Sus scrofa: one gene and its partners. The protein of the gene in region 3 interacts with the protein of the main gene of each other region in a pairwise test. Links are inferred from orthologs where the notes say so. Each region holds a gene or a part of one and is shown on either strand. Other genes may lie near its edges.

Region 1 (4,868 bases), on a different chromosome or scaffold from region 3:
AAGCTTTAGAATGTACATTTAATTTTGAAAAGCTCTGCTCTAGGTAGTGTCTTAACATTTTCCCCCAATTCAGGAGTCTCCAAAGAAGAGAAGTCTCTTTCGTGATCTATGCTGGGGGTAATTGCTAAATGGAGCTAATGCCGGCACATAGGGAAGGGCTGAACATATTAGGATAGGTTTTGGACCCTAATAATATGGGTCTCGAGGTAGAAAACGAAGGAGAGTTAACATTCAGTAATATTAAAAAAAAGAATAAGAGTCCCTGAACTAGATTTTCCATTTCCACTTGTAAACCAAAGCAGAATTTATTTTCAAAGCCTTAGGTATGTTTGGGGGCAAGGAGCTTTTATTGCTATATATCCCCTTTCCTGCTAGCCTACTAATTGTTACAGTAAAATAGTTCAAGCCCACAGATATCACATGAAACCAGAAAAGAAAATGTTAAGTTAGAATTATTAAATTGTCTTTGAATGTCTTAAGTTTGAGTAGGAAGGGGATACTTTTGGGTGAAAAGAAAGAGTAGATTTTGCATTTTAATATCTGAGACCAACTTCAGTGAAGTTCAAGGATGTCTCTGGGGTGGTTCTTTATCTCAGTGCTGAGCCTAGCTCACTAACCAAAACCACATTCATCAAGAAACCTATGTTTCAATGTAATTGTATTTCATTGTTTTTGAAAGCAGTGTTAACTCTTCTGCAGATTATTCCTTTATGGAGGGTATCAATTATCCCTATTGTACCCACACCATTCTCATTGCTACAAAAAGTATTTTAATAACATCGTTGTGTTTAGATGTCAATTGAGTTGGGTATGGGATAGTTAAGAAGGAACAGAAGAGAACATTTAGATAATAATTCTTTGCACAGTTTCATGGTTGGGAGTACATTCTAAATAAGCAAACTGAAGGCATTTTTATTCTAAAATTACTTGTGAAGCTTTAAAAAGATCTTATGATCTACTGTCTAAAGTGTGAACTCCTTGAAATTTTTTTTCTTTCACTCCATGTAGCATGAATGTCAACATCATCATTCAAAGAACAAGAAACATTCTAAGAAATCTAAAAAACATCACAGGAAACGTTCCCGCTCTCGATCAGTAAGGAAGTTTATTTAAAATGGCACCATAAGTGTATTGAAATATTTGTTAGCATAATTATGAGTGAAATTATTTGTATTGTTTAGGGGTCAGATTCAGATGATGATGACAGCCATTCAAAGAAAAAAAGACAGAGATCAGAGTCTCGCTCTGCTTCAGAACATTCTTCTAGTGCTGAATCTGGTAAACATATCTTTTAACTTGATGAAAATCATTGACACTTGGATGTCCTCAAATTCTGACATGTGTCTTTTTGTGCTGCTTAGAGAGAAGTTATAAGAAATCAAAAAAACATAAGAAGAAAAGCAAGAAGAGAAGGCATAAATCTGTAAGCAGACTTAATTTTTATACTGCACCTAGGCTTTTGGGGGAGGAGCGCACTTTTTAGGGCCACACCTGCAGCATATGGAAATTCTCAGTCTAGGGGTTGAATCAGCTGCAGCTGCTGGCCACAGCCATAGCCACAGCAATGCCAGATCCAAGCCGCATCTGCGACCTCCGCCACAGCTTGAGGCACGGCCAGATACTTAACCCACTGAGCAAGGCCATCCTCATGGATACTACTCGGGTTTGTAACCCACTAAGCCACAATGGGAACTCTGTGCCTAGGCTTTTGCCCTTAATTTCCTAAATGGCAGTAGAACCTAATTTTCTGTCTAGTCCTGTACAGTCAACAGAATTCAGGTGGGCACCTAAAATTCAAGAGTGTCACAGCTGTTGTTCACCTTAATCTTCTATTAAAATCTTTTGATGAGCTTTGAAAGAAAAAAAAAAAAGAACCACAGTGTTAAGATCCCCACTCTTTTTTTTAATAGTAACCTTAGAGAAAGATCCATGTATGTGTATATATTGCAGCTGTTGCTAAGAACCACAAAGTCAAATGTTTTAACAACTTATACTCTCAGTTCTTAACATTATGTACAAATCAAGATGCTTCTGATCTTAGGGATGAAGGTACACTTAATTTGTGATGCTCTTTTTTAGTGGTATTTTAAACCCTATCAAAATGTCATTTTTCCCTCAGGAAAGACCAACTCTCCCCATGAATCTTTTTTTTTTTTTGTCTTTTAGGGCTGCACTCTTGGCATACGGAGGTTCCCAGGCTAGGGGTCTAATCAGAGCTGTTGCTGCTGGCCTATGCCAGAGCCACAGCAACGCCAGATTCGAGCCACGTCTTTGACCTACACCGCAGCTCACGGCAACTCCGGATCCTTAACCCACGGAGCGAGGCCAGGGATCGAACCCGCAACCTCATGCTTCCTAGTCAGATTCGTTTCCACTGTGCCATGACGGGAATTCCTCTCCCATGAATCTTGGGAATGCTGTAGATTCCTTGAGATTAATAATTCAAATTTTAGTACTCTAGGAAAACATACCCTGTTATACATGGAGGTTCTTAAATATCACCTATATAGGGATTTTTTTCTACTAGAACAATTTATTCATCAAAATGCTAACATTTTTTATTTAACACAGGACTCCCCAGAATCAGATGCTGAACGAGAGAAGGATAAAAAAGAAAAAGACCGGGAAAGTGAAAAAGACAGAACTAGACAAAGATCAGAATCAAAACACAAATCACCTAAGAAAAAGACTGGAAAGGATTCTGTAAGTATTTAGAATTATTTCATGTCTGTATTTTCAAAATATAGAAATGCCAGTGAACTACCTTTCATAAAAAATAGTTTTCTAACATGTGATTATGAATGACCCAATTTAAGCATCCTAAATTTCATGTTCCTTAGAAAGAAGTACAGAATTCTGTAACTATTGTTTAACCCTAAGAAAGGTATGTTCTCTGTACATTCTCATTAAGAAATGCCAATGGAAATTTTCTATCTAATTTTTTTAGGAATATAAAATTTAAGAGACATCAGAGGTTTCCCTCCAAATGTCCACAGTTGTCATGGTTATGAACTCCAGTTTTTAAAGCAGAAATGAACCCAACTAGTATCCATGAGGATGCAGGTTCCACCCTTAGCCTTGCTCAGCAGGTTGAGGATCCTGTATTGCTGTGGCTATGAAGGCCAGCAGCTGCAGCCTTATAAAAACCCCTAGCCCAGGAACTTCCATATGCCACAGGTGCAGCACCTAAAAAGAAAAAAAAATTGTGGGGGAAGAAGTGAAGGTATTAAATAAGGGGGGATACTACAAACCAAATTAATTTTAATATCAAATTAAAATTAGTTTCCCATTTGTGTGTATGCATATATGCCAGAGCACAATACAAGCCTTCTTCACCTTATTATTCCTTCCACAGATGCTATGAACTTGGCAAGGGTGATGCCTCTGAATCACCAGTTGAGGATTTAAACTGTGTAGACAAGCCCTGGTCTTCTTTCTGGATATTTTGATTCAGTGGGAATAGGGTGGAGGCTTTTTTTTTTTTTTTTTTAAACTGCCCTGGTGACTCTAATGCACATCCTTGGTGAGGATTGAATGTTTCCTCTATGCTTATTTAGTGGCTTAATAGTTTCTTCCTTACAGTAGATTAAATAAATCCCTGAAGGGGAAAGCTAGATGGTGGACTGTCCACTTTTGAAAGTTGCTTCTTACAGATAATGCAGTATTTTTTTCTCCCAGCCCAAGAGTTGTCCTCATAAATCTTAAATGTTTCTGTAGTTGGACACCATAGTATGCTTTATAGTATGCTTTTTGAAGCATAATACTTTTATGTAATGCAAAACTCTGGATAGGACAACCTAAAATTAGCAATGAATGTAATACCTAGGAAATGAACACCCATTAAGTGGAAGTCTCATTCTAACTTTCTCTCTTAATGTAACAAAGAAGTACTTAGTTAACAACCCATCAGGAGGCTTTTGGGGAAGAGGTCAGTCTTTAAACCTTGTGATGTGTTTGCTTCCGGAAGAGAACCCAAATAGGTTTCAGATTCTTTTTTCAAAGATTCATTACTACTTAATCTTTTGAGTACTGACATCAAATATAATTGTATTCATTGTCTTTCTAGGGTAATTGGGACACTTCTGGCAGTGAACTGAGTGAAGGGGAATTAGAAAAGCGCAGAAGGACCCTTCTGGAGCAACTGGATGATGATCAATAAATTATACCAAATATGTTTACAGTATGATTTAAAGTCTAATTCAGACCAGGGACTCTATTTTAAGTTCAATTGAAATAACACTGGGTTTTAATTATATCACAGAAAAAAAAAAAGTGCATTTAAGTATTGTTATTGTGGACTTTATAAAAGCAAAGGAAATTGAAAATACTTTTGATTCTGTATCAAGAATCATATTTTCATACAGTCATAACTGTCTCTCTGTGACCCTTTCATAGGGCACTGCAGGATGGATTAAAGGTGGCAATTTACTGATAACTGCAGGTGTCTCTACTTTGTTCTCAAATCTGAGTCATGAGGTGATTTGATTTACTTTATAGAAGTTGGATTTTGAAGATATAATGAAAATTTTTTGATATCTAGTAGTACAAAAAAAGCACCAGCAACTGATAAAACTGCTTTTTTGTGCACTACCCAACTGGTTAAAGCTGATAAGATCTTTTATGGTGATCTCAGAAATAGGTGTTCTTAATGGAAACCTGGTAGACCCTTAACTGTAGTGGTGCTATTGAGCACTACTATAATAAAGCCACCATTATTTTTTATGAACCATCTGAATACATTTTAAAAAGGCTACTGTGAGGGCATTATTTTGAGGTGATGTTTAAAAAGTTAACATCAAATTGTAAATTAGTTTAAATATATTGCCTTAAGGACCTACTAAAGAATGTGCCACCAAACTTTTAAGTGA
Region 2 (6,117 bases), on a different chromosome or scaffold from region 3:
AGCAACATGGATGGAACTAGAGACTCTCATACTGAGTGAAGTAAGTCAGAGAAAGACAGATACCATATAGTATCATTATATCTGAAATCTAATATACGGCACAAATAAACAATTCTCCAACTTTCATCCCAATCCCTCTATCCCTCCTCCGTCTTTGCTCTCACTATAGTTAAGATCACTTGTTGAATAGACCATTCTATGATGCCAAAAAGTGGATGGTCAGGAAATTCTGGCCCTGCGAGACTTTTTTTATTGAAATTAAGTGAATTTGACTTGATTGAGAGAAAGCTTTTTGAAAATAATTATAAAAGTTAGAGCTGGGCAATGTCAAACTAGAAATGCTGAGGTTAAAGTAGCCAGTGATAGCACCTTTCTATTAATAACTCTGTGTGTGCATGTGTTATTTATGGAAGAGTTCTTTCTGTTTCCGCTGAATGGCCGTGTTTCTTCAGTGACCTCTCTTTCTGCTGTATGTGTACTAGGCTCTGCAAGGATCACTTCATCACTTGTTCAGAAAGTCCTCTCAAGAGCTGGGCTTTCATGATGGATATTTCCGCATTCGCACAATCATCTAATTCACAATCTAAATACTTCAGGTATTCGTAGGTAATCATTAAAAATAAAAGTATATTCCAACTTGGAAACAAATACTTAAAAATTTGAAAGTTCTGTATTTAAATGTTAACACACCCTTTAAGGAGAGTGAAGTGAAACATCTCTGCCTCCAAGTGGTTAGTCACTGAGAGCATGTTGTCTGTCACACAGCCTTTGAAGAAAACAACCAGGAGACCTTAAGTGGTTTACATTAAAGCTAATAATTGTAAATGATATTGGAATATGTGATGTATGTCCTGTAGTATAAATGCACTGGGGTATTCAACTCTGAGAAGACTTGCCAACCAGTAAGTCTAGACTGGCTTCTCTTATCATTCACGTCTAATGAAAGTCCTAGGAAAAGCCTCAGAGTCAGAACTTTTCTGTCTGATGGTCAGTGAGGTATAGTTATAAAATTTAGCATTCAGAGGAGGAACAAAGCACCTAATTTTAGATTTTAGAAAGCAATGGAGATGCTGAGCAGCTAATTAGGACTTGTGATTTAGCGAAAGGACCAAATGACCAAAATAGTGACTTTAACTGGTAGAAGAAATGTGATTCATCCATACATAGAATCCAAAGTCACTCATTATATATTTTGGATATTAATCCCTCGGCAGTCACTTCATTTGCAAATATTTTCTCCCATTCTGTGGGTTGTCTTATGGTTTCCTTTGCTGTACAAATTAAATTTAAATTAGGTCCCATTTATTTATTTTTGTTTTTATTTTCATTACTCTTAGGAGTGGATCAGGGAACTCTCCCAATAGTCTGTGATTATCTGTATGGGAAAAGAATGTGAAAAAGAATGGATGTATTATGTATGTGCATAACTGAATTACTTTGTTGTACAGTAGAAATTAGCCTGTTATAAATCAACTATACTTCAATAAAACTTTAAAAAATGAAAAAAAGTCATTCATAAAAAAACACTAATAAAGAATAGCATTTCCAATGTCACATAAAAGGGAAAAATTCACTGACAAGGATATTATTTCATAGCTATGATTGAATGAAGAAAAGCAAATTGCAGAAGAGAGTAATCTCAGCACCTTATATATGAGCAGTTTTATTGTTCATACTCAAGAGAATGTAAAATCACCTAAACTAATCTCTACCGCTTCAAAAAAAAATGTTCAGAGTTAATGGCCATAGGTCATTACTGTCATTATTATACGAAGTATGAAATACCATGAACATACCAGATGACTGCCAGGTGAGTGGCTGCAGCCAGTGACGTGTGTAGCTTCAAGAAGTGGATGTCCTGGGGCTTGGACTGAGGCTCCCAAGTCTGCTGTGTCAAGGTGACCACTTGTGACACGAGGCTGTCACAGGTAACTTCAAGTTATAGGAGAGTCTTTCTAATGAGTCTTTCCTGGGATTTTGATTCAGATCAAATGTGGAGAATTTCAAATCATGAGTGAGTATAAATTCTTCATTCCATCCTAGAATTTAGAGGATTTTCACCACATGAGAGTTTACAAAAGTGTTCTTGATATATATCAAAGGGGCCAGCTCTACTTCTGTTTCGTGCTTCACTCTTTGGTGGACCAGTGAAAAATGGAACAAGGATGATAAGATAATCATGACCATGAAAATGATTTTAAAAATCAGATATCAGTCATTAATGATGCATCTAAAGATAACAGCAAACCTATCCTTGTGCAGATAATCCATTCATTGTGTCCATTCAATTATCCACATGGACTACAGCACCATGCTTGTTTCTAGGAATGGCCAGGAGTTGTAAGGATGGCTGTAGTTACTGACATTACCAAGTGTCAGTATCAGCAAGACTTACTGTAGGAGTCTGTTCAAACACATGCCATCAAAATTCTTTGAGACATAATTCTTGAGTCATACTTAGCAAACGGTGGTGTGTGAAGTCTTCTACGGAAAACAGTTGTATTTAATTAGTGAATACATGACTGATTGCAGAAGAACACATTTCAGAGACTGTTGGAGAAGATAGGACTGCTTCATGATATAAAATTTCTTTTTTTCTTTTTTTTTTTGTCTTTTTTTATTTTAGGGCCACACCCGCAGTGTGTGGAGGTTCCCAGGCTAGGGGTGGAATAGGAGCTGTAGCCACTGGTCTACACCCCAGCCACAGCAACGTCAGATCTGCGTGGCCTCAACAGATCCTTAAACCCACTGAGCGAGGCCAGGGATTGAACCCACATCCTCATGGATACTAGTGGGGTTTATTAACCACTGAGCCACAATGGGAACTCCTGATATAAATCTTCTTAAAATCGAGTATTCCAGAAATGGAAAATGGAGGCCTTCATCAGGGAGTTCAGTGCGCCTTCCTCTCTGACCTGGGTTGACACCCCTGTCTTCTGTTTCTCTGTTTATTCCCAGAATGCAGACCCCACAGTTCCTGCAGCAGCGTCGAAAATTTGCAGCTGCCTTCTTGGCATTCATTTTCCTTTTGGCAGTTGTGGATACCGCTGAAGCAGGAAAGAAAGAGAAACCAGGTAAGCAATACGGTTATGAGCACGAAACTCTTCCTTAAGTAATGTCCCCTTAATCCAACTACCTGATTTTGTCCTTTCTCCTTCCCTCCCCCTCCCTCCGTCATTTTCTTCCTACCTTTCCTCTCTCCAAGTATTCAGAGGAACCTAAGAGACATCCCCTCTCACTTCCATCCCCCTCAACTGTAAGTCCTAAAAAAGGGATGAGGATCATTAACTTGAGCCGCATGACAGTGATCACAGTAAAGACCACAGCAGCAGCTACTGCGTTTGGAAAACCGACCAGCAGCGATCAGGTGTTTTGCTTATGCTCATACCTTCCTCCCAAAGAGTCCTAAAAGGAATTTTTGTTTTATCTCATATTGAAAAAGGAGGAAGGCGAAGCTCAGAGAGGATGAAGCACCTTTTCTATGTCACTCCCCTTGTCCTAAGGGGCTGTGCAGCTGGGAGTCTGTTTACAGCTGCGTCCACCACACTCGCCTTACGCTATTCCTCCTGTACGAGAAAGGAACGTTGAGACATGCGTCGAACTGGCTAACCTGACAACTCTTACTTCTCATAGACTAGTTTCTCATTTTTCAGGTTTAACTGACTTTGACCATCTTCTCTTTTTACAGAAATGTTTGCTTCTAAAAGGAGAGATCAGTGAATCACTTAGCACAGTCCTTGATACATAATAAGAATTAAAATGAATAACAGTTCTAGCTCCACAGTTTTCTTTCTCCCTTCTCTTGGTCATTGGTTGATTGAACCATTCAGCTAACACCTATCAAGTTCCTACTCTTACTGAACACTGAAGACAAAGGTAAAATGCCCAGACCATGCAATTAAGGAGATCAGGAATGGACTTAGTTATATCTAGGAGTTAAAGATTTTTCTGGATGTTGATTATTTTTCTTTCCTCCCTTCCAGAAAAAAAGGTGAAGAAGTCTGACTGTGGAGAATGGCAGTGGAGTGTGTGTGTGCCCACCAGTGGGGACTGTGGGCTGGGCACCCGGGAGGGCACCCGGACTGGAGCTGAGTGTAAACAAACCATGAAGACCCAGAGATGTAAGATCCCGTGCAACTGGAAAAAGCAGTTTGGAGGTAAGTCCCACCCCTGCAGTCCTGTTGATGTCATCTTCTACCCTGAGATAATTCTTGCATTCTTCTACCAAATACCTTTTTGAGGTCGATTCTATTTATTTTAACACATTTATTTTCTCAGATGCAGCCTAACCGGGCACTTTGCCTACCCCCAGGTACCTCATTTTCAGTACTACTAGCATGGGAGGGCTCAGATAATTTTTTTGTCCTGGATGGAGGGTTATTCTGTGCACTGTAGGGTATTTAGCTGACTCTCTGGCTTTTACCCATGAGTTTCTGGGAGCATGCCCTCCACCTTACCAACTGCAGCAACTGAAAATATCTCCAGTGTAATCCAGTTATAATGGAAAAAAATAAAAATCATTACACACACACACACACACACACACATATAAAGAAAATTCCTCCAGATAGTGCTGCACATTTCCTGGGGTGAGTGGGGGGTGCAATAGTCCCTGACTGAGGCCACAGGCTTTACCAATAGGGATAGAAATGAACCCTTGATCCCTCTTAACAGTGTTCTCTTTCCTTCTTCTATTTCTAGATTCCTTCTGTCTCCCCTTCCTTTTTTCTTATTTATTCTCCTTCTCCCGATCTCTTTCTGTCACTTGCAGGCCCTCTCTCTCTTTTGCTCTCTCTCCACTTTCCACATGGGTTTGTAGATTCACTTTCCAAACCCAGCAGGGTTGCTGTGAGCCCCTTTTCATAGATTTTTCTCTCACCAAATACTGCCAGTTTCATGCTGACTTCATCTACCTACTTGAGAAGAATCTTTCAACTCCTTCAACTTTAAACCCACCACTGAACACCCAGTTCCTTGATTTTTTCACATGCCTAGTGGGACACGATGCCCCAGATATTCTCCCTGGTCTACAGGAAGGTGCTTTGACCTAGTGACCAATGGAGAAGAATAATGAATAGACACACTATATCTTTTTCATTCTTTATAACTTTGGGGGTTATAACTTTTTATGAGTAGAGGTAAATTCTGTAAAAGGATGGTAAAATTCAGATACATTTAATCTTGAATTGTATATGGATACCCTAAGAATGATATGCAAAATGTCTTAAAAACTGTGTCTTCAAGGTCTTGTGTCTAGAATATATAAGAACTCTCAAAACCAACAATCCAGTTAGAAAGTGGGCAAAAGATAGGAACAAACATTTTACTGAAGGGGATAAATACATGGCAAATAAACATTTGAAAAAGTGTTCAATATCTTTTTCCTATTAGAGAAATTAAAATGAACACCAATGAGCTATCATTCTGTATTACCTATTAGAATGGCTAACATTAGAAATCACATCAGATGCTAGTGAGGATGCAGAGAAACTAGATCATGCATGCATTGGTGATGGGAAGGTACATACAGAAGCCACATTGGAAGAGAGAATGGTAGTTTTTCACAAAACGCAACTTGTATTTACCATACAATGCAGTGGTCTCACTCTAGAGAAATGGAAACTTATGTTCCTATAAAAATCTATACAGCAATGTATATTGCAGCTTTACTTGTCATAGCCAAAATCTGGAAAGAACCCAGATGTCCTTCCACTAGTGAATGGCTAATCAGCTGGGGTACATCTGTACCACAGAGTACTACTGAGCAATAAAAGGAATAGGCTACTGATACACACAACTTGGATGGACGTCCAGGAGATTTTACTGAGGGCAAAGAGCCAGTCTCAAAAGCTTACAAACTATATGATTCCATTTAAGTAACACTCCTTAAATAACAAAATTATAGACATGGAGAACAGATAATTGCCAAGGGCAGAGGAGGTGGGAAAGGAAGAAGGTAGCTAAGCTATGATGTAAGAGGATAACCCACGGGGCCCTTGGGTTAGAACTTGTGTGAATATTAATGGTTGGGTGTTCATATTTATCTGCACACAGAACTAAATGTTCGCACACATATACACACTGAGTGTATGTGAAACTGGGGAGACCTAAGGAACT
Region 3 (6,646 bases):
TGGGAGCTGAGACGAATCTGAGACCTATGCTGCAGCTTGCAGCAATGCCGGATACTTAACCCACTGAGCCAGCCAGGGATCCACCTTCATCTCCATGGATACCAGTTTTTTGTTTTGTTTTGCTTCTTAGAGCCACGCCCGAAGCATAGGGAGGTTCCCAGCCTATGGATATAATCAGAGCTACAGCTGCCAGCCTATGCCACAGCCACAGCAATGCACCAGATCCAAGTTGAGTCTGCGACCTACACCACAGCTCATGGCAACGCTGGATCCTTAACCCACTGAGCAAGACCAGGGATTGAACCTGCAACCTCATGGTTCTTAGTAGGATTTTTTTCTGCTGCACCACAACGGGAACTCCTGGATACTAGTTCTTAATCCACTGAGCCATGACGGGAACTCCACATACTACTTTTTAAACTTATGTATGTATGTTACAAAACATATTTATGAACTGATTTTACAAACATACATATTTTACTTATTTTAAGGCATATATGAGACATTAGGGCTGCAGTTTTTGTTTGTCCTGTTTGCTATTTTTTTCCCAGGTCCTGAGAATACTGCAAGGACCTAAAAATTTGTTAACTGAACAGATATAAAGGTGAATGAGACAGGTTCTGTTCCCAAGAAATTCAGTCTAATGGCGCTTCCTCTTTCTGGACTTTATCTCCTTTTTCTGTAAACTGAAGGAACTGGACTAGGGTCTGGACACTTTGCCATGCTTCTGAGTCTGAGAATCTCAGATGACAACACTTTGTGTCTGCATATCACTCTACAGTTTACACCTACCCTTTCATTTGATCACAACAACCCTGTGTGCGTGATGTGGTGGTGGGGATTATTTTCACACTGGAGATGTGGTAAAAAAGCTTGTGACTTACCCAAGGTTCCACAAATGGCAAGTGGCTGGCTGAGACTAGAACCCAGCCAGACCTCGGGTCCAATACTCCTTCCTCATCACCACTTGATACATAGGGTCCTGCCTATTATAAATGCTGCTGCAGACCAACTCTTAGTAATCTTCCAGAAATCCTGTCCCTGGGCCCCAACCATCCAGGATGGGGTCCAGGGTGCCCCTTGGGGGTCCCCTTAGGGACAGAGGAAATGGCTCCCCTCTCCATACCATGCAGTCCATGAGGATGAATTTGAGATTGTCTTCGTTAAATGCTTGGTTCCCGTTCCGGTCGTAGGCCGCCCAGATGTTACTGGCGATGGCTGCAGTGACTCGGGCGTCCGTATCCCCGTAACCAGAGTAGGCCAACAGAGATCCCTCGTTATTCAGCAGCCTGGAAAAGCATCAGAACGGATATCAACGTGCTCAGGATGGGGAGTAAAATACCTGACTTTCCATCCCAACTCGCCCACCGGCGCTCCTAGAAAGCAAGGGTCTGGGTTGAGTGTGTCCTAGAACATGCCCCAAACACCCAGCACGTCAGTTTCTCTTTCAAGAGTGGCCCTCTCGCCGGTTCACCCAAAGGCTGCCCCCTCTGCCACCTCCTCCCTTCCCAGAGAGCCTTCCCCACCCCTCCCTCGGAGAGCCGCGCGCAGCCCCACTCCAGTGCTCGCCGCTCGGCCTCTCGGTCCGCACTCACAGGGTGCTCTGGACACCTCCAGTGTTAGCTTGGCTTAGCACCTGGGTCAAAGCCTTGGGACGCAGCATGCCTGTGGCTCCTAACCCTGGGCTTTCACAACCTGATCCCGGAGTTTCCTATAACTGGCCTCCGCCTGCCGCTTCCCGTAGTCCAGCTGCCCGGCTCCAGAACTCCTGGGAGTTGTAGTTTCCTGGCCTGACTGTGCGGTTCTGACTCAACCCCGCCTCACCGCGGGGGGCGCTGGGAATTGTAGTTCCTCGAAGCTTCGCGAGGCACCCTGGGAACTACAGTTCGCCTTTCCAGTGAGACCACGCGGTTATGGGGGAAAAGAGCGGGAGTAAAAGGATAGTGGCAGTACTGGAAGGACATTTAACCCTCTCGGGCAGAGGAGTCATATCTGCTTGACAATCCACGATTCAGTAATTAAAAGAAAACAAAATTCCTATACTTGTCAGGCATACCTTGGGTTACTTCTCAAAGCAATTTTCTACATTATGCATAATTCTGTGAGATGAGGAGATAGATGCTATTGAGGAAATAGGCTCAGAAAGGCCATGCAGGCAAAAATCCAGGTCTCTGGAACTGTACTGAATAGACTTCTTGGAGGCCGCTACCCTCAGGGGAATTAAGTCAATCCTACAGAAGAGGTTTTAGGTAGATATCCAGAAGTGGAAAATTCAGCCTCCAAGTCGGGAGAAGCCTCAGGCCTGGAAAGGATTTGGGCTTTCCAAGAAAGACCAGTTATCATAGGGAACGGAGATAAAGCGGCGACACAGAAAGTCCTTTGTCCCGGAGAAAGAGTTAGTCGCGGAGGGGGCGGGTAGCTTTGGGCCCGGGGGCGGGGGGTTGGCACCTCAGCGCGACTCGGACCGGCTACCACGGGCGGTGGTCTCTCCCGGAGAGTTTGCTTCCCGCCCCTGTCCGGAGCAGCCCCTTTGGGGGCCGCCGCCCAGCAAGGCCCTGCCCAGGCTGCAGACCCCGGGCTCGGCCCTGGGCGGACCCCGCTGCAGTGGCCCCCCCGGTCCGCCCGGGGCGCTGTGGCTGCGGCTGGTCCGGAGGGGGCGGTGAAGCCTTGGGGAGGGGAGGGGAGAGGGGAGTGTTGGAGGCGCCGGAGCCGAGCACCGCCGGGCGGGCGGGGAGGAGGAGGAGCCGGGGCGGGCTGGCGGGCGGCCGGGTGGCGGCGGCGGCGGCGGCATGGCGGAGCCGAGCGGGGCCGAGACGAGGCCCCCGATTCGGGTCACCGTCAAGACCCCTAAGGACAAGGAGGAAATTGTGATCTGCGATCGAGCCTCGGTCAAGGAGGTAGTACGGGTGGTGGGGATTGGGGGGGTGCGGAGGAGTGGTCTGTGAAGAGGGGGGTGTCTCTGAGACCGTCGGGCGTATGGGAGGGCCGGGGAGAGGAGGGCGGGGGCCCAGCAGGCACTCGGGGAAGCGGGAGGGAAGAGGCGGCGGGTAGGGGGCGTCCTGCGAGGTCGATCCGGGGTAGCGTGGCGCGTGTTTGGGAAGGGAGGCCGGGGTTTGCCTTGTGGCCTGGTCTGGGGGCGTGGTGGAGTTGGAAGAGGACACCTTGCACAGGCAAGGGGGAAGGACCCTGTGTTGGAGAGGAGTGTTTGCGCCGCTTACTAGCGGGGGTTCGAGGCGCTGAGGCAGGGTGGGAGCCGGGCAAGGTGCGGAGGCCGGATAGTGGGCGCGGGGCGCAGGCGAGGAAAGCTCCAGGCTTCTACTGTGCGTCTCAGAGAACGCCCAGCATTCTGACGCCCGGCCGGTGCGGGGGGAGGATTTCCCTCTGCCGGGATCTTTGCTACTCTTTCAAATCAAGGTAGTTGCGTTTGGTTCTCAGCCCCTCTGGGATTTACACAAGGTGCAGTAGGTGCTCAAGAAAAATGTGGTGAATGACTGAATGAGGGAATATTGCTGTGTTCACCACCCGCCTGTGGCGGCTCCAGAATTTCACAGAGGCGGGGCTAAGATAGGCTTTCTGGTTGGGAAGGAGGGATCTGGAAGCTGCCTTTGCTTAGCAAGTGCACTGTTTTTACTTAGAGTGTAAGTTTGGGTTGGTAGGGGGGTTGCGGATAGATGTAGAGTCTTAACTCTTTCCAAGCCAGCTTTTAGTGCCATTATTGCCCTTCCCCCAACCTTATAAAATGACTCCATTCCAGAATTGAAATCATTTTCGCTGCAAAGCTGAATTTGGTATCAGCTCTAGTTGAGAGGATCCATGTTTTTGGTTCAGAGCTTGGGCTTCGGTATCGAGGCCTAAGTTCCAGTCTGCCCGGGGCAAGTTTCCTAACTGCTTTGATTCTCAGTTTTCTTGTCTTTAAAATGGAGATAATTGTTAACATGTATCTCATGGGATTTAGACTCTGAATGGTTAGTGCTTTTATAAATAACGTGTTACCTGGTAACTGGTTAAGGGTCAGCTGGTTAAGGGTCTGGCGTTGTCACTGCTTTGGCTCAGGTCACTGTGTGGCTTGGGTTCGAACCCTGGTCCAGGAACTTCTGCATGCTGTGAATGTGGCCAATAAATATGTAAATACCTAAATAAATAAGTGGGATCTGTTTATCATCATTGTCACAAGAACACTGGAAATAAAGAGAGGAAAAAGACTTGGGGTCTGAGAAGAGAAGGCTGAAGGGAGACAGGGCCTGGGCCCAAGGCTGTTGAAGGAGTTGGGATGGTGAGAACTGCCTAGGCAGTACCCTCACGGGGAACTGGGTGGAGGGACTGAAGATGGAGTGGCAGATAGAAGTGAAGTCTTTCTTGGAGTTCCCTTCGTGGCTCAGTGGTAATGAACCCAACTAGTATCCACGAGGACACGGGTTCGATCCCTGGCCTCGCTCATTGGGTTGGGGATCCATTGTTGCCGTAAGCTGTGGTGTAAGCCGCAGATGCAGCTCAGATCCCGAGTTGCTGTGGCTGTGGCATAGGTCAGCAGGTGCAGCTCCAATTCGACCCCTAGCCTGGGAACTTCCATACACTGCGGGTGCAGCCCTAAAAAGACAAAAAAAAAAAAAAGAAGAAGGAGCAAAGGGTTTCTAGGGTGGGAGTCCCCAGGGTAGAGCTCTCTCTAGTCCAGCTCCTTCAGAAAGGAGCTGCTTATTGCAACTAGAGGAGTGGAATTAGAACCGCTGAAAGGACTTCCCAAGACTAGAGCAGAGGCTCTTGAAGAAGCGGCAGAGTCCCTTGTTGGTGGAGCCCAGGCAGCCTCCACAGTGACCTTTGCCTCTTGATCACAGTTCAAAGAGGAAATCTCCCGGAGATTTAAGGCTCAGCAGGATCAGCTGGTCCTGATCTTCGCGGGCAAGATCCTCAAGGATGGGGACACATTGAACCAGCATGGGATCAAGGATGGGCTCACTGTCCATCTGGTCATCAAGACCCCTCAGAAGTAAGTTCAGGAGAGGAGCAGGTCCAGCTTCGGGTTGGGCTTTTTTTACCCCCACTGATGCTTTGTCACCCGTAGTTCCACTGTACATCTAAGGCCTTTGCCAAGGCCCAGGAAGGTGCCTCTTGGATGGATTGCCAGAAAGCCCTGTGAGCTCATCTCCAGGGGAAAGGAACCTGACTTACCTCTCCCTGAATGCCCCGAAGATAGAGGATCCTGGAGTTCCCTGGTGGCTTAGTGGGTTAAGGATTCGGCATTGTCACTGCAGCGGCTTGGGTCACTGCTGTGGGGCAGGTTCAATCCTTGGCCCTGGAACTTCCACATGCTGTGGGTGTGGCCCAAAAAAAGGCTCTTCTCTCCCTCTGTCTGATTTACTGATTCCCTGCAGCACTACCCTGCCTTAGCCTCAGGGTTGCTTAGGAAGTTAGGGCCCTAGCTGCATAGCAAACAGAAATCCTTGTCTTCCCTTTTGTGTTCGCTTCAACTAGGATTTTTCTTTCTGTCCTCAGGGCTCAAGATCAGACCACTGCCACTGCTTCTTCCCCTTCCACTCCAGACCCAGCCTCAGCACCCTCCACCACGCCTGCTTCACCCGCCACCCCTGCCCAGCCCTCCACCTCTGGCAGTGCCGCTTCGGATACTGGCAGTGGAAGCCGAAGGAGCAGTGGAGGAGGTCCCTCCCCAGGGACTGGGGAGGGACCTCCCAGTGCCACTGCATCCATACTCTGTAAGCCCTTAGGAAGGAGGGCACTGTCCTGTTCGGGGCTGGGGAGTTGGGGAAAGCCAGGAGGAGGAGAAAATATAGTCCCTGTTCCTGGCCCAGTGGAGATAGGGGACCCCTGGACATAGGGTTCCAGACAGTGGTACTTGAGCCAAATGGGACAGGAAACCAGTCTCTGAGGGCTTCCCAGAAGAAGGAGCATGGCAAAATGTTAAGCATGAGGAGGAATATGGGGCTGGGGATACGTGGAACCCTAGGTGAGGATATTGGTGTTTGGGGAAAGTGGGTTAACAGTGGCCAGTTGGGGAATATTTATTTGCTCATTCACTAGGCCATCACCAGTTGCCCTCTCTGTGCTCAGTGCTGTGCCTGACTGTCAGCCTTTGCCATCAAAGAGGTTTTGGTCTAGTAGGCTCACATCTCTCTGCCAGCAGCAGATCAGGGCTGGGGCTGTGGAAATGACTGGCAAAGGGAGATGTGAGAAGCAGAGGGCCCATCGTGGAGTCCTGATCAGTGACTCTGGCCACGTAGGGGAAGAGTCTTGTGACAGACCGTGACCCTGCCCCCTCCCCACAGCTGGCTTTGGGGGCATCCTGGGCCTGGGCAGCCTGGGCCTGGGCTCCGCCAACTTCATGGAACTGCAGCAGCAGATGCAGAGGCAGCTGATGTCCAATCCTGAGATGCTGTCGCAGATCATGGAGAACCCCCTGGTCCAGGACATGATGTCTAACCCTGACCTGATGCGCCACATGATCATGGCCAACCCTCAGATGCAGCAGCTGATGGAGCGAAACCCTGAGATCAGCCACATGCTCAACAACCCTGAGCTCATGAGGCAGGTGGGTCTGAGAGAAGGTTGGGGTGTGGAGGACACCTGTGCCCTGCCTATACCCTGTCTGGCCTTTTTCCACCTTTTTCTACCTTGATTTGTTCATCTATTCATT
Region 4 (6,117 bases), on a different chromosome or scaffold from region 3:
TACCCATCTCAACCACAGAACAACAGTAAGAAAAAAAAAAAAATTCAAGCAGTGATTTTCATATTTGTCTGGGAAAATGATATGCTACCAGCCATACCTGACATGCAGAAAAGTTAATTTGTTACAAACAGCGGATGCCTTGGTGCCTTAGGGCTTAATTCTCTCAGGGGATGGGGTGGGAAGATGATGAGTCTAACCTCTAGGTATAAATGAAAAACCCTTTATCACCCCCTAGCTGCAGACAAGTCTGCCTCTTGGAAGAAATTCATCGTGCCGGGAAGCTATGAGAGCGGGCAGGGCAGGATGCCCCCATACCTGCGTGATCTGCAAGAACGTTACCTGTGCTCGGTGATCCCCGACGGCAAACTGTATCACCGCAACGCCTGGGCTGTGGCTGTTCTCAATCCGCTCCACGGTGCTGGAGTCGATCTTGAGGTCGTTGCTGATCTCCGCGCTCTGGATGAAGTCTTCCGTCTTTAGGTCTTCCACCTTCTTCAGCTCCCCGTTGGCCAGCTGGATGATGGAGCCTTTCATGAAGTAGGGAGGCAGCGTGGGGGGCGCGGCTGCGGGGGACGCCACCGACTGCACCACGGGCAGGTGGATCTGGGCCTGCACCATGGCCGGGTAGGCGGCCTGGGTGACCAGGGCCTCCGGGCTGAAGTTCTCGTTCTTGGGCAGGGCGGTGGTGACGAACGTGTGAGGCACTGCAGCAAACTGGGGCGATGACGTGACGATGGCCGAGGCCGCTCCCGACCCCTCCATGTCGGCGCTGCCGACGGGGATGAGCAGGGGCTGGGTGCCGGGGATGACCAGGTGCTGGGGCAGGCCGCCGGCGTAGGTGATCGCTTGCTGCTGGCTGCTCAGGTAGCCGATGACGGGTGGCTGGGTCCCCGCATAGAAGGCCGTGGCCGGAAGTCCGACTGGGAGTGGCTCCGAGGCGCTATGCGTGGTCTGAATGACCGTGTGGGGGGACAGTGTGGCGACGGCGGCGGCGGCGGCGGCAGCAGCCTTCACTCCTTCGGGGCCCAGGGCCTGCTGAGGTGACAGCGCGTAGGATCGGTGGCCGGGCTTCCCTAAGTGCAGGCCGCTTTTGTCGTTGAGGGTGGACGGGGAGGCCTCCCGGTGGGTGACCTGCTGCACCTCGAGGTCGGCGGCAGGGGTGCTGCTGTTGGGCAGGACCATCACAGAGGCCCGCACGCCCGACGAGTCCCGGCTGCCGTAGTCGGCGGGGCTGGGGTGGACCACCACGTGCCTGGACTCGTAGGGGTGGGGGACGGCCTTGCCGCCCGCCTTCACCAGGCCCAGGTCGGCCGAGGTGGGCGCCCCGTACCTGCGGCCCTTCTCCAGCTCCCCGTTCAGGATCTCCTTGGCCTGCATGGCCTGCTGCAGTCGGCTGCTCTCGGCTTTCTTGGTGGCCTCGCGGGGGACAAAGTGGCTGCCGGAGTCGGTGTACTGCACGACGACCTGCGGGGAGGGCCCCAGGGTGAGCGTGTGCGGGATCATGGTCTGGTGGGGGTGGAGGTGGACGGGGATGGCCGGCGGGGAGGCCGGGCGCGCCGCGGTCTGCGGGGAGCCGGCGATGTGCACGTACTGGTTCTGCGGGGTGGGGGGTGGGGACCCCGGGGGGAGGAGCCCCGCAGTCCTGCCCAGGTGCTGCGGTGGCGGTGGCGGCGGCGGCGGCTGCTCAGCCTTGTGCCCCGAGGCCTGGCTCAGGCCGCCCATGGTGGCCAGCAGCGTGGAATAGGCCTCCAGCTGGGAGCGCTGGGATGGAGTGGCGGCCCCCGCGGCCGAGGCCACCGCACTGGTGACGGGGCTGGCCGTGGGGGAGATCAGCTGGGAAGGGATGAAGCCGGTGTAGGGCCCGCTGTACTGGGAAGACCCAATGAACTGCAACGGGTGCGCAGGCAGGTGGGCGTACTGCACGGGCGACACCGGGGCCCCGGACTGCGGGGGCGGGTACGCCGCGGGCATCGTCGTGGTCGCCGGGACGGACCGGGGCGCGCTGGGTGGGGAGTAGTCCAGCCCCGAGGACAGCGCTTTGTGTAAACCTATTCCCTGTTGTAAACCGAGCTCCGGCGGGGGCCCCGCCGGCCCGAGCCGCCCGCCAGCGTGGCCACGGGCGCCCGCGTGGCCCGGGAGCCATGGCACGCCCTCCGCGCGGTGGTTGTCGCTGGGCACGGCCGTGGCCTTGTCCTCCGACGGCCGGCTGGTGGCGGGGATCTCGCGCTTCTTGGGAGGCAGGCATTCGTTGCTGCGCTCTTGGTTGGATTTCATTTTTCGCCGTCCCCCCTCCACGGTGACTGTTTCACTGTCTGGCTGGCTCTGGTTTTAGTCTGATAAACGGAAAGTCACATTTGATTTCTGTAGGGGATCCAGGCGCTTCATGAGGAATCATCTCCCCGCGGGGGCGATCCGCCAGCAGCCGCTCTGGAATCTGGGGAAAGGAAAGAGGATCGGGATGAGGGTAAGAGGAGGAGGAAAGAGAGGGAAGAGGGAGAGGGAATCAGAACATCAGCACCAGAAAAGAACGTGCTCCCAGAGACTCCGACTAGGCTGCTGGTGTCAACGTGAAATCCCCTCCTTCGCCCCAGGGTCAGAGCAGGTGACACACCGGCCTTGTTGGAGCTCATCAGAAGGACCATTCAGACAGGGAGCAAGTCAAAGCCTTTTTTATGGACTCAGCAAATCTCCTAAGACATCTCTCAATACCCTCTCTCCTTTCTTCCTGTTTTTTTTTTTTTTTTTTTCCTTGAGAGTGGACACTTGTGTTTCTTAGTTTTCCTTCCAGAAATGCCACTTCTACTCCTCGCCTCTTCTTTACCTGGCTGGAAAACTGGAATGAAGCCCACAAGGATGATGGCACCCATTAGGGTCAGCCAGACCTGCCCTCAGAGACAGACCCACCCGGACTTTGAGAAACCAAGTCCTCCGTGGACTTGATAGTTACCCCTGATTCCTCATCTGCCTGCCATAGATGCTACGCAGATTCCACTGACTCTGGGTCCATATGGGATCCGCCACAATTCTCTCTTCCCTAACATACACACACACTCATAACACACACTCTCTCTTTCCATAGGCCAGCTCAGCAGAGCCAGCCCCAAATAATTCTATACCCCACAAGCTTCCAAACAATTCCCAGTACAGCTACTCACATGATAACAGAAAGCCAAAAGGAATCTGTGACAGTTAAACCTTGAACACAGTTATGGTTGAAAGTGCAACTGGAGTTCCCACTGTGGTGCAATGGGATCCGTGGCGTCTCTGCAGCGCCAGGACACAGGTTCGATCCCTGGCCCTGCAGAATGGGTTAAAGGATCCGGTGTTGGTTGCAACTGCGCCTTGGATCTGAACCCTTGCACGAGAACTCCATGTGCCCTGGGTGCCCAAGAGGGAAGAATCAGTGCGATCCTCAGGCTGATGCATCCAAAGTGTTCTTTCTTTCTTTCTTTCTTTTTTTTTTTTTTGTCTTTTAGGGCCGCACTAACGGCACATGGAGGTTCCCAGGCTAGGGGTCCAATCAGAGCTACAGCTGTCGGCCTACACCACAGCCACAGCAACCCTGGATCCTTAACCCACTGAGCGAGGACAGGGATCAAACCCGTGTCCTCAGGGATGCTAGTCGGGTTCTCCAGCCACTGAGCCACGACGGGAACTCTGAGGCTCTTCTTAATAAGGGTGACGTGCTTGCTCTGCCTTTGCCTCTAACTTCCCTTCTGGTCTTTGAATTTTCTCCCTATACCTTCCACCCCCTTCTCCTTGGAAAGGGCCAATCCACCCTTAACCCTAGAGACGAAACCTCTGCCGGACCCATCAGGCATGTGTGTTTCCATCTGGACGTATCATTAGTGAGCCTGGAGCCAGTTTTCAGGGACACAGATCTCAGTGTCTCAGAAACCACACAACTCTAAGTTACCAGGCGTGTGTGGGCAGACAGATGCCCACCTGGCAAGAGGCAGGTCATTAATGGAACCAAGAGGAACCAGGCTAACAGGTGGCAGGTGTGAGGGCCACCTACAGGCCACACGCTGTGATCCTGGGGAGGCGCAGGATTGGGCTCTGAGAATCCAGGCCCTGGGTTTTAGCATTTCTCCAACCCAGACCTCTTTTCTACGGTGTGAAGTTAAAACAGGCACAATAAGGCAGCAATTTTCAGCATATGACCTTTATCTGTGCTGAAGCAATATCAGTGTCCCTGGCTTATAACACAGCCCTTTTCTCTCTCTGCCCTCCTATGCTCCCCTCCTGCGCCAGCTCATCCCACTTCTCTCCTTAGAGCTTACACACCCCCTTCTCCAATCTGTAACTTTTTTTTTGCCAATGATGTAGTGGCCCTTGCTGCTTTCGCTTCAACATCCTTAATGAACACCATGACAAAAGGACAGATGACACAAAAGTTCTCCATCCTTCTTGACTTTGACCAAGCATTCAAGGAGGTGGAGGTTAGAAATTTGGGGTCTCAATACAAATGACATTTCGATAAGAAATAGGATTGCTCACATGACAAGAGAGGCACTTTTAAGACTGAGGCAGAAACAAAAAAGTAAGTAAAAAGAGCAAAAATATTCATGAAGAAATATCTCTGTCAAAAAAGTAATGGCGATTATCTACCTCCTTGACCCAGGGCTTTGTAAGTCCCAGATAACTGTGTTCTGTACAGTTTCCTCTTATGAAGAACATGGCACATAATTTACATTGAATATGTGCAAACTGATTAAGATGTCAGTGCTATGTTCAAAACAATGATAGATAAAATTAAACAAAAATTAAAGACAGTTGCCCCTTCTCACTGCTTAAAAAGTTCTGATAATAATCTTCATTTCTAAAGTCACTCCAAGAAAGGACTGCCTAAGTCTCACATCCCATACGGACTGGGAGAGAAGTCTTTTAAGAGATGGACCCAAAGGGAACTGTTCCATGCGCCCCCTGCTGGCTCCACAGTAGCACTGATCCAATGAAACCCCACAGGATTTCATTAGGGATGTTCATGCAAGAGTAGTATGTCAGAATCCGGAATGAGACTATTTGCATATAGTAGGCCCAGCCAGTAAGGGAATAGGTTAATTAGCCCAAGGCAGCTCTAGGGAAGAAAAAGCAGCAGCATAAAAGTCCTTTCAAAGCCAAGCAAAATGTCAAACATGTTCAGAACGAGGTCTATTAGCAATGCAAATGTAAATTGCCTGTACAACTGAATGCACCGTACACAAAACTAGAAAACCCCTCCGAAGGTACTTTTTAAAAAAGAACTCAGCTTTAGGGAATTTGAAAAAGAATGCTGACTTGATTTTCAGTAGGGCTTGCGTTTATTTACACCCTTTTTTTGAGACACTGGCTTAGTTGGCCCTAAAGATCTTGGTACAGACGCTATGACTGGTCTTCTGCTAATGACCAGTCAAACATATTGGCCTTGACACACAAATTCAAATATATCTTTCTGAAAAGCTGTCCATTGATAAACATCTTTTCTAGAGAATACTAATGCTATATTAAGTATACAAAGATTAACTGGTGTGACTGGGGCCAGACTAATACAAATTTTGACTCACCCTCCTCTTACAGTTAAAAGGACCATGTCTCTTATTTACCATTGCAGCTTGGGGACTAGGTTCTCTAATTCCGGAGTATGTGTCCCTTCTCTGTTTCCTGAGCTCCCTGTACTGTCATCAGGGGAAAGAAATCATTGTGAGGGTAGGGACTGTGTCTTGATGTATTTTCAGTGAACCACCACGAGAGGGCGCCACAGTACACCACCAGGTCCCTGGCACACTGGATTAAAAGAATGGAGAGGTAAATTATGCAGGTGGAAGTCACTTCAGGGAAAAAGAAGGGAGAGAAAAAGAGACCAGGAAGGGGAGAAATAAAAAGGAGGGTGGATGTCTGCTTTTAGGGTCTCTTTCTAGCTGCAGACAAAAGCCCTCTGTGTCCCCAGTTGCCTTCTCTGTGCTCAAACAGTGTTTCCTCTGGGCCCGTGAGGAGGTCACCTCCGGATGTCCTTTGCCACAACAGCAAGATTTCTTGGAAACACGGGGCCACACAGGATTCTATACCTAAACTGCCAAAGAGCCATATATGCAGATCGTAGGTTTAAACATTATTGTTAGGAAAGGAAAAGTGAAC
Region 5 (5,106 bases), on a different chromosome or scaffold from region 3:
TAGGCCAGTACCACGCACAGGATTGCTTTTAATTACTGTCATCTCCTAAAACCAAACTAAATATTTTAATAGAATAAAATCTTGCTCTGGGCCATTATCATTTACGTAAAATGAGTTCTATGAACTTGTGTGGTTTTTTGTTCCCATGAGTCAACACACTGTTCCAGTAGCACGAAATTCCATCTTTTGCTGTACTTGGGGGCAGGTCAAGTTTAAAATTCACCTCACACATTGGTGAGTTGGTATAACCAGAACAGTCCCAAGAGCTCCTAAGATATTTGCTGAGAAGGCCATCATAAAAAGAAAATCTATAGGCAGCAAGGTCCTACTGCAGAGCAAAGGGAACTATATCCAATCTCCTGGGATAGACCATGATGGAAAATCATATTTTAAAAGAATTTACTGAGTCCTTTGCAGTACAGCAGAAATTGGCACAACATCATAAACCAACTATACATTAATTTTTTAAAGAGAACAAAAGGAATGATATAAAATTTCTATTGATTATAGGGAAAAAAGGAAGTCTATTTATGCTGTTTATATCCGCTGTGCTTGTCAGATGACTTCAGATCACATTTTTCTCACCAGGCATAAAACCAAGGCAAACTCTTGATTACAATGATTTGTAGCGCCATTGATGTACTGCCCCTCCCACCAGAGGGGAAACCGTGCCAGCCAGGCAACAGGCGGGCATTGTCCCAGGGAGCTTGGACAAAAAGGCACACAGAGTTCAATTCCAGAAGAACAGAATAAAGGCCAGTAGAGAGCTGCCTGGGGTCACACCGCAGTGAGATGGCTTAAAGAAGATGTTAGGAGACGTATCGCTGTGTGTGTTTGGGCGTGCAAGTGGGTGTGTGTGAGTGTGTCTGTTTTCCAAACTGAGTTAAGAGCACAAGTACTGAATCACAGTAAGAAGCCAGAAAAGTAATATTTGCAGAGAAGACAGGGGTCACGCTCTTTAAGGCAGGACTTTGTGCCTTTTTAATAGACTAAACTATGGCCCAGGAAGCCGTGGCAGTGTCAGTTGTTCACTGACACTTGGGAGATAAGTAAAGAGTTGAGCCTTCTAGAATCCTAGAAATCTAGAGCCGGTAGGAAATATGGAAAGTCTCTAAAGAGAACCTCCAAAGAGGAACACTGGTTACCTATGAGTGATTTTAGTTTGTTTTTCTTATCCATATATTCTTTCTTTCTGTCATTTTAGGGCTGCACCAGCAGCATAGGGAGGCTCCCAAGCTAGGGGTCGAATCAGAGCTGCAGCAGCTGACCTACACCACAGCCACACAATGCCAGATCCAAGTTGTATGTGCAGTCTCCACTGCAGCTCATGGCAATGCCGGATCCTTGACCCACTGAGTGAGGCCAGGGATCAAACCTGCATCCTCGTGGATACTAGTCGGGTTTGTTACCACTAAGTCACAGTGGGAACTCCGGTTCTATTTAAAATTATACATTTATCCTATAAATATAGAAAAGCCTGTATTACACCTATCATCCAAATATGTATAAAATACATCGAAGATAACATATTTATGCATATAGCATTTACGTAAATCTATATTTTAAAGAAAAGAAAGAGGGAACTTGTAAACTCAACTAGGCCAGTAGGTTTCACATCTTTTAATTCCAGGAGCCCCTTCTTTGAGCAAGAGCTTTCACAGAGGCCTGATATGAAGCTGCTCTGATTGAAGCCAGCCATGGGAAACCCAAAGGGCTACCGACTGGTTTCCTTCCTGCTTGTCCCCTCCTTGGTGGCTCTGAAGGAGCTCTTGGAAACCCCGGGTAATCGTTTTCAGTGGCAGAAATGTGAAGTGATTACCCTGGGCCATGCAGCCTGCCCGATGACACCTGTTCATTGCAATTTCCGTTCCTAGCATATTATTGCCATGTTCCAGAAAAACGACTTGTCTACATAAAAGGCCTTCCCATTCATGCCTTTGGCACCTTAAAGCAGTAAAATATTAGATTTCTGACTGTCCACTGGGGTGCCACTAGACCCATGTGACCAGCGAACACTCAAAATGTAGGCTGTGCCGTGGAGGAACTAAATTTGTTTAAATCAACTTCAATTTAAAGAGCCATATGTTTCGTGGCCACCAAAGCCATGGAGAGTTTCTTCCTTGTTCCATAGAGAAAGAAAACAAGGAAGAGCAGGGCTAAATGAGGGCACCTCCGCTTCAGTTTGGCCTCATCTGAGAGGAATTTCAGCTGCCACACAGAGCACAGGAAAGCAGTGTTAGCACCAGTGTGAAGAGCCCCTGGGTTTGAACCCCGGCTCTGCCACTGACTCTCACTTGACTTCACTGTGGCTGAATGTCTCCTGATCTGCAAGATGGGATTGAGAATAATGAGGATGACACCTACTCCAGGATTAAGAGAAGGAATATTTATAAATAGTTTTGAAAGTATGCCTGGCTCACAGTCAGTGCTAAGTAAGAGTTTATTAAAGGAATGTTCCGGAAAGAAGACCTTATGACAGGTATATCTAAGGCTCTCTTTGACTGTGTCATGCTTGTTATGCTTATCCTAAGTTTTCAGGTTATCACTTAGAGATCCTTGCTTCTTTTTTCTAGAATGACAAATGTGCAACTCTTTTTTTTTTTTGTAGCTTTCCAACAAATACACAGATGCTGTAGCCACATTGCTAAAGCCTGACCCATCTCAGAAGCAGACTTTCCTAGCGCCACAGGTACTTTTGATTTTAACTTATTTTAAATATTAAAATTCTCATGGTTAAAGAACCACCACCACAAATTGTAACTACCAAGCAGGTCATTTAGCCTGATGAAATGGCTCTTTCCTGCTGGTTGGTAAACATGAACTTCGAGCAACTGATCTGCCATGTGGTCTTCCCTGCAAAGCCATCCACCAATGAGGCTAAAAAATAAGACCTGCTGTGGATGGAAAAGGCTACCTTCTGAATTTAAAAATTAAGCATGTATGATGTACACTGATCTGTGCCCTTCCTTCTTCAGAATACTATTTCCTCGGAGGAAACGGACGACTTCAAACAAGAGGTGAGTTTCACTCTGAATCCAAGGTCCGGCATGTCACAGAGGGACCAAGGAAGCCATTCTTTCTCCTAGTGACACTGCCAGGGCTCAACTCCGGCAAAATTACGTTAGCAAATGATCCAGTAAATATCACGTCTAAAATTTGCTCACCAAAAGCGCAAGTATTTCCTAAATGTCAAAAATACCAGGTTTCTACAAATACGTTTACTGTGGCAGGAAGTGTTGACTCATGTCTGTTTGAAATACTAAGCCTTTTGCAGTTATTTAAGGTATGTGGTTGATGTCATCTAATACCTAATAAGTATCTAAATAATGCCTACCAAAAACAAGATTTTGCCTCCAGGAACTTTTCTGTTCCTAACATTATAGTTTTTTAATAGCTCTTCTTTTTATTGGGACTATTCATATATTTCCTAAGCAAAGGGATAAGGTAAAGCTGTCTTCCTTAAGATTCCATTTGAAGGTGCTAAGAATCTCTAATAAGGAAAGGTAGATAAATAGCCCAGTATATTTGCTAATCAGATGTTTAATAGACACGAACTGATTTTGAGCTGCAGTATATATATATATATATATATATATATATATATATATATATGGATAACAGAGTCACTTTTAATTATCCGGACTAATAGGGAAGGGATTTTGGGTGGGGGGGTACACATTACTGATATATGAATGCTCTGATGGCCTGAGAATTCTCATTTCAAATAGAAAAAGAAATTCCACAGTTAGTATCTGTATTTATTACATTATTGAATTCAGGAAATTGAATAATGTCTAATGTGAACAAGGAAAAACAGTGTTATTACGTACGTATCGTACTCAGATATTTGGCTTGAAAATACCAATGAAAATAATTTTTGTGAGAAAGCCAGAAAAAATGCCTGAATATGATGCCACTTATCATTGCGTTAAAAGAGAAATCAGAAGATGCTGGCTTTAGCGCCTAAGGGCCACGGAGTGCATTGTCCTGACTGCAAAGATTCTCACACGAAAGGAAGATAGTAAGCGGCAGATGCACTGTCGAGCTAAGGGGAAATTAAAAACTCTCACACCCATGTTTCTGGCCATCTCGATATTTAGACCCTGCCAAGCAAGTCCAACGAAAGCCCTGAGCAAACAGACGATGTGGACGACGACGACGACGAAGACCACGTGGACAGCAGGGACACGGACTCCGAGGAAGCTGATCACGCTGACGACGCTGACCGATCCGACGAGTCTCATCACTCCGATGAATCCGATGAGCTGGTCACCGATTTCCCCACCGACACCCCAGCAACCGACGTCACTCCGGCTGTCCCCACGGGAGACCCCAATGATGGCCGCGGGGATAGTGTGGTCTATGGACTGAGGTCAAAATCTAAGAAGTTCCGCAGATCCGAAGCCCAGGTAAATCCTGAAACAGACGCAGCCGATGGTTCCGAGGAGAGCCCTGTCCTAGGAAACCAGAATCGGCAGGCTCATGTATTCGCTCATTCAGCCAGCATGACTACTTGAACACAAAACCTGTGTTTAAATCCACATAATTTCTCCCTAATTTTGTCTCTCAATCACGAGGCAGTTTTTCCAAACCCTGGCTATAAAGCACTTATTCTATTCACTGTTTTAAATTTAAAAAGGACTTCCGAAAAGAGTAATTCTTTTTCATGCTATCATGGTCACATTTTGAAATTCAATGCAGAAGAAGACTTGGAGAGATGCAAATTACACTGACTCCACAGTCAAAGGATCTGAATTTGGCACATGGCTTTGCCATTTACTACTCACATTACTTTTTAACTTCTGATTCCGTTTCCCTTTATGTAAAACAGACGAGACCCGCCTCGTAGATTTCCTTGCATAGATAATGGATGTGCCTATTAAAGTAAAGGAGATGACAGAGTAAAAGGACCTGGTGAAAAAAAAAAAAGTAACACACTGGTATTATTATTATTACTTCAGCCACATTTAGACATTTCTGTAGAATACACTGGCCTGAAAGTTAGAAAGCAGAAAAGAGCTACAGTGTTCCCATCCCTGGCTGTTCATTTAATTCTTCTCCCATTTTTGCTGTGATTCAGCAGCTGGATGCCACAGAGGAAGACCT

Evidence for each region.
Region 1: the proteins of UBQLN4 (region 3) and PRPF40A interact in a two-hybrid assay, tested with the Homo sapiens proteins (2 studies listed by BioGRID and IntAct). The link is inferred for Sus scrofa from reciprocal best matches to the Homo sapiens genes UBQLN4 and PRPF40A.
Region 2: the proteins of UBQLN4 (region 3) and PTN interact in a two-hybrid assay, tested with the Homo sapiens proteins (2 studies listed by BioGRID and IntAct). The link is inferred for Sus scrofa from reciprocal best matches to the Homo sapiens genes UBQLN4 and PTN.
Region 4: the proteins of UBQLN4 (region 3) and ATXN1 interact in binary tests that used the Homo sapiens proteins (3 or more experiments, as listed by UniProt). The link is inferred for Sus scrofa from reciprocal best matches to the Homo sapiens genes UBQLN4 and ATXN1.
Region 5: the proteins of UBQLN4 (region 3) and SPP1 interact in a two-hybrid assay, tested with the Homo sapiens proteins (2 studies listed by BioGRID and IntAct). The link is inferred for Sus scrofa from reciprocal best matches to the Homo sapiens genes UBQLN4 and SPP1.

Annotation. Positions count from the first base shown.
Region 1 is NC_010457.5:60,390,759-60,395,626, reverse strand, and holds part of PRPF40A (pre-mRNA-processing factor 40 homolog A), read left to right. Parts: exon of another isoform or gene 1-1,008; coding exon 1,009-1,095; exon of another isoform or gene 1,096-1,181; coding exon 1,182-1,278; intron 1,279-1,361; coding exon 1,362-1,423; intron 1,424-2,571; coding exon 2,572-2,703; intron 2,704-4,066; coding exon 4,067-4,159; 3' UTR 4,160-4,868.
Region 2 is NC_010460.4:12,284,888-12,291,004, forward strand, and holds part of PTN (pleiotrophin precursor), read left to right. Parts: intron 1-1,796; exon of another isoform or gene 1,797-2,573; intron 2,574-2,958; 5' UTR 2,959-2,959; coding exon 2,960-3,074; intron 3,075-3,983; coding exon 3,984-4,157; intron 4,158-6,117.
Region 3 is NC_010446.5:93,973,691-93,980,336, forward strand, and holds the start of UBQLN4 (ubiquilin-4), read left to right. Parts: upstream 1-2,695; 5' UTR 2,696-2,789; coding exon 2,790-2,897; intron 2,898-4,832; coding exon 4,833-4,984; intron 4,985-5,490; coding exon 5,491-5,708; intron 5,709-6,278; coding exon 6,279-6,541; intron 6,542-6,646. Other genes in the region: ragulator complex protein LAMTOR2, read right to left, coding at 1,127-1,289, 1,596-1,663. UniProt on the Homo sapiens protein: Regulator of protein degradation that mediates the proteasomal targeting of misfolded, mislocalized or accumulated proteins.
Region 4 is NC_010449.5:12,320,556-12,326,672, forward strand, and holds part of ATXN1 (ataxin-1), read right to left. Parts: intron 2,435-6,117; 5' UTR 2,275-2,434; coding exon 340-2,274; intron 1-339. UniProt on the Homo sapiens protein: Chromatin-binding factor that repress Notch signaling in the absence of Notch intracellular domain by acting as a CBF1 corepressor. Binds to the HEY promoter and might assist, along with NCOR2, RBPJ-mediated repression. Binds RNA in vitro.
Region 5 is NC_010450.4:131,078,569-131,083,674, reverse strand, and holds part of SPP1 (osteopontin precursor), read left to right. Parts: intron 1-2,608; coding exon 2,609-2,689; intron 2,690-2,975; coding exon 2,976-3,017; intron 3,018-4,100; coding exon 4,101-4,409; intron 4,410-5,080; coding exon 5,081-5,106. UniProt on the Homo sapiens protein: Major non-collagenous bone protein that binds tightly to hydroxyapatite. Appears to form an integral part of the mineralized matrix. Probably important to cell-matrix interaction.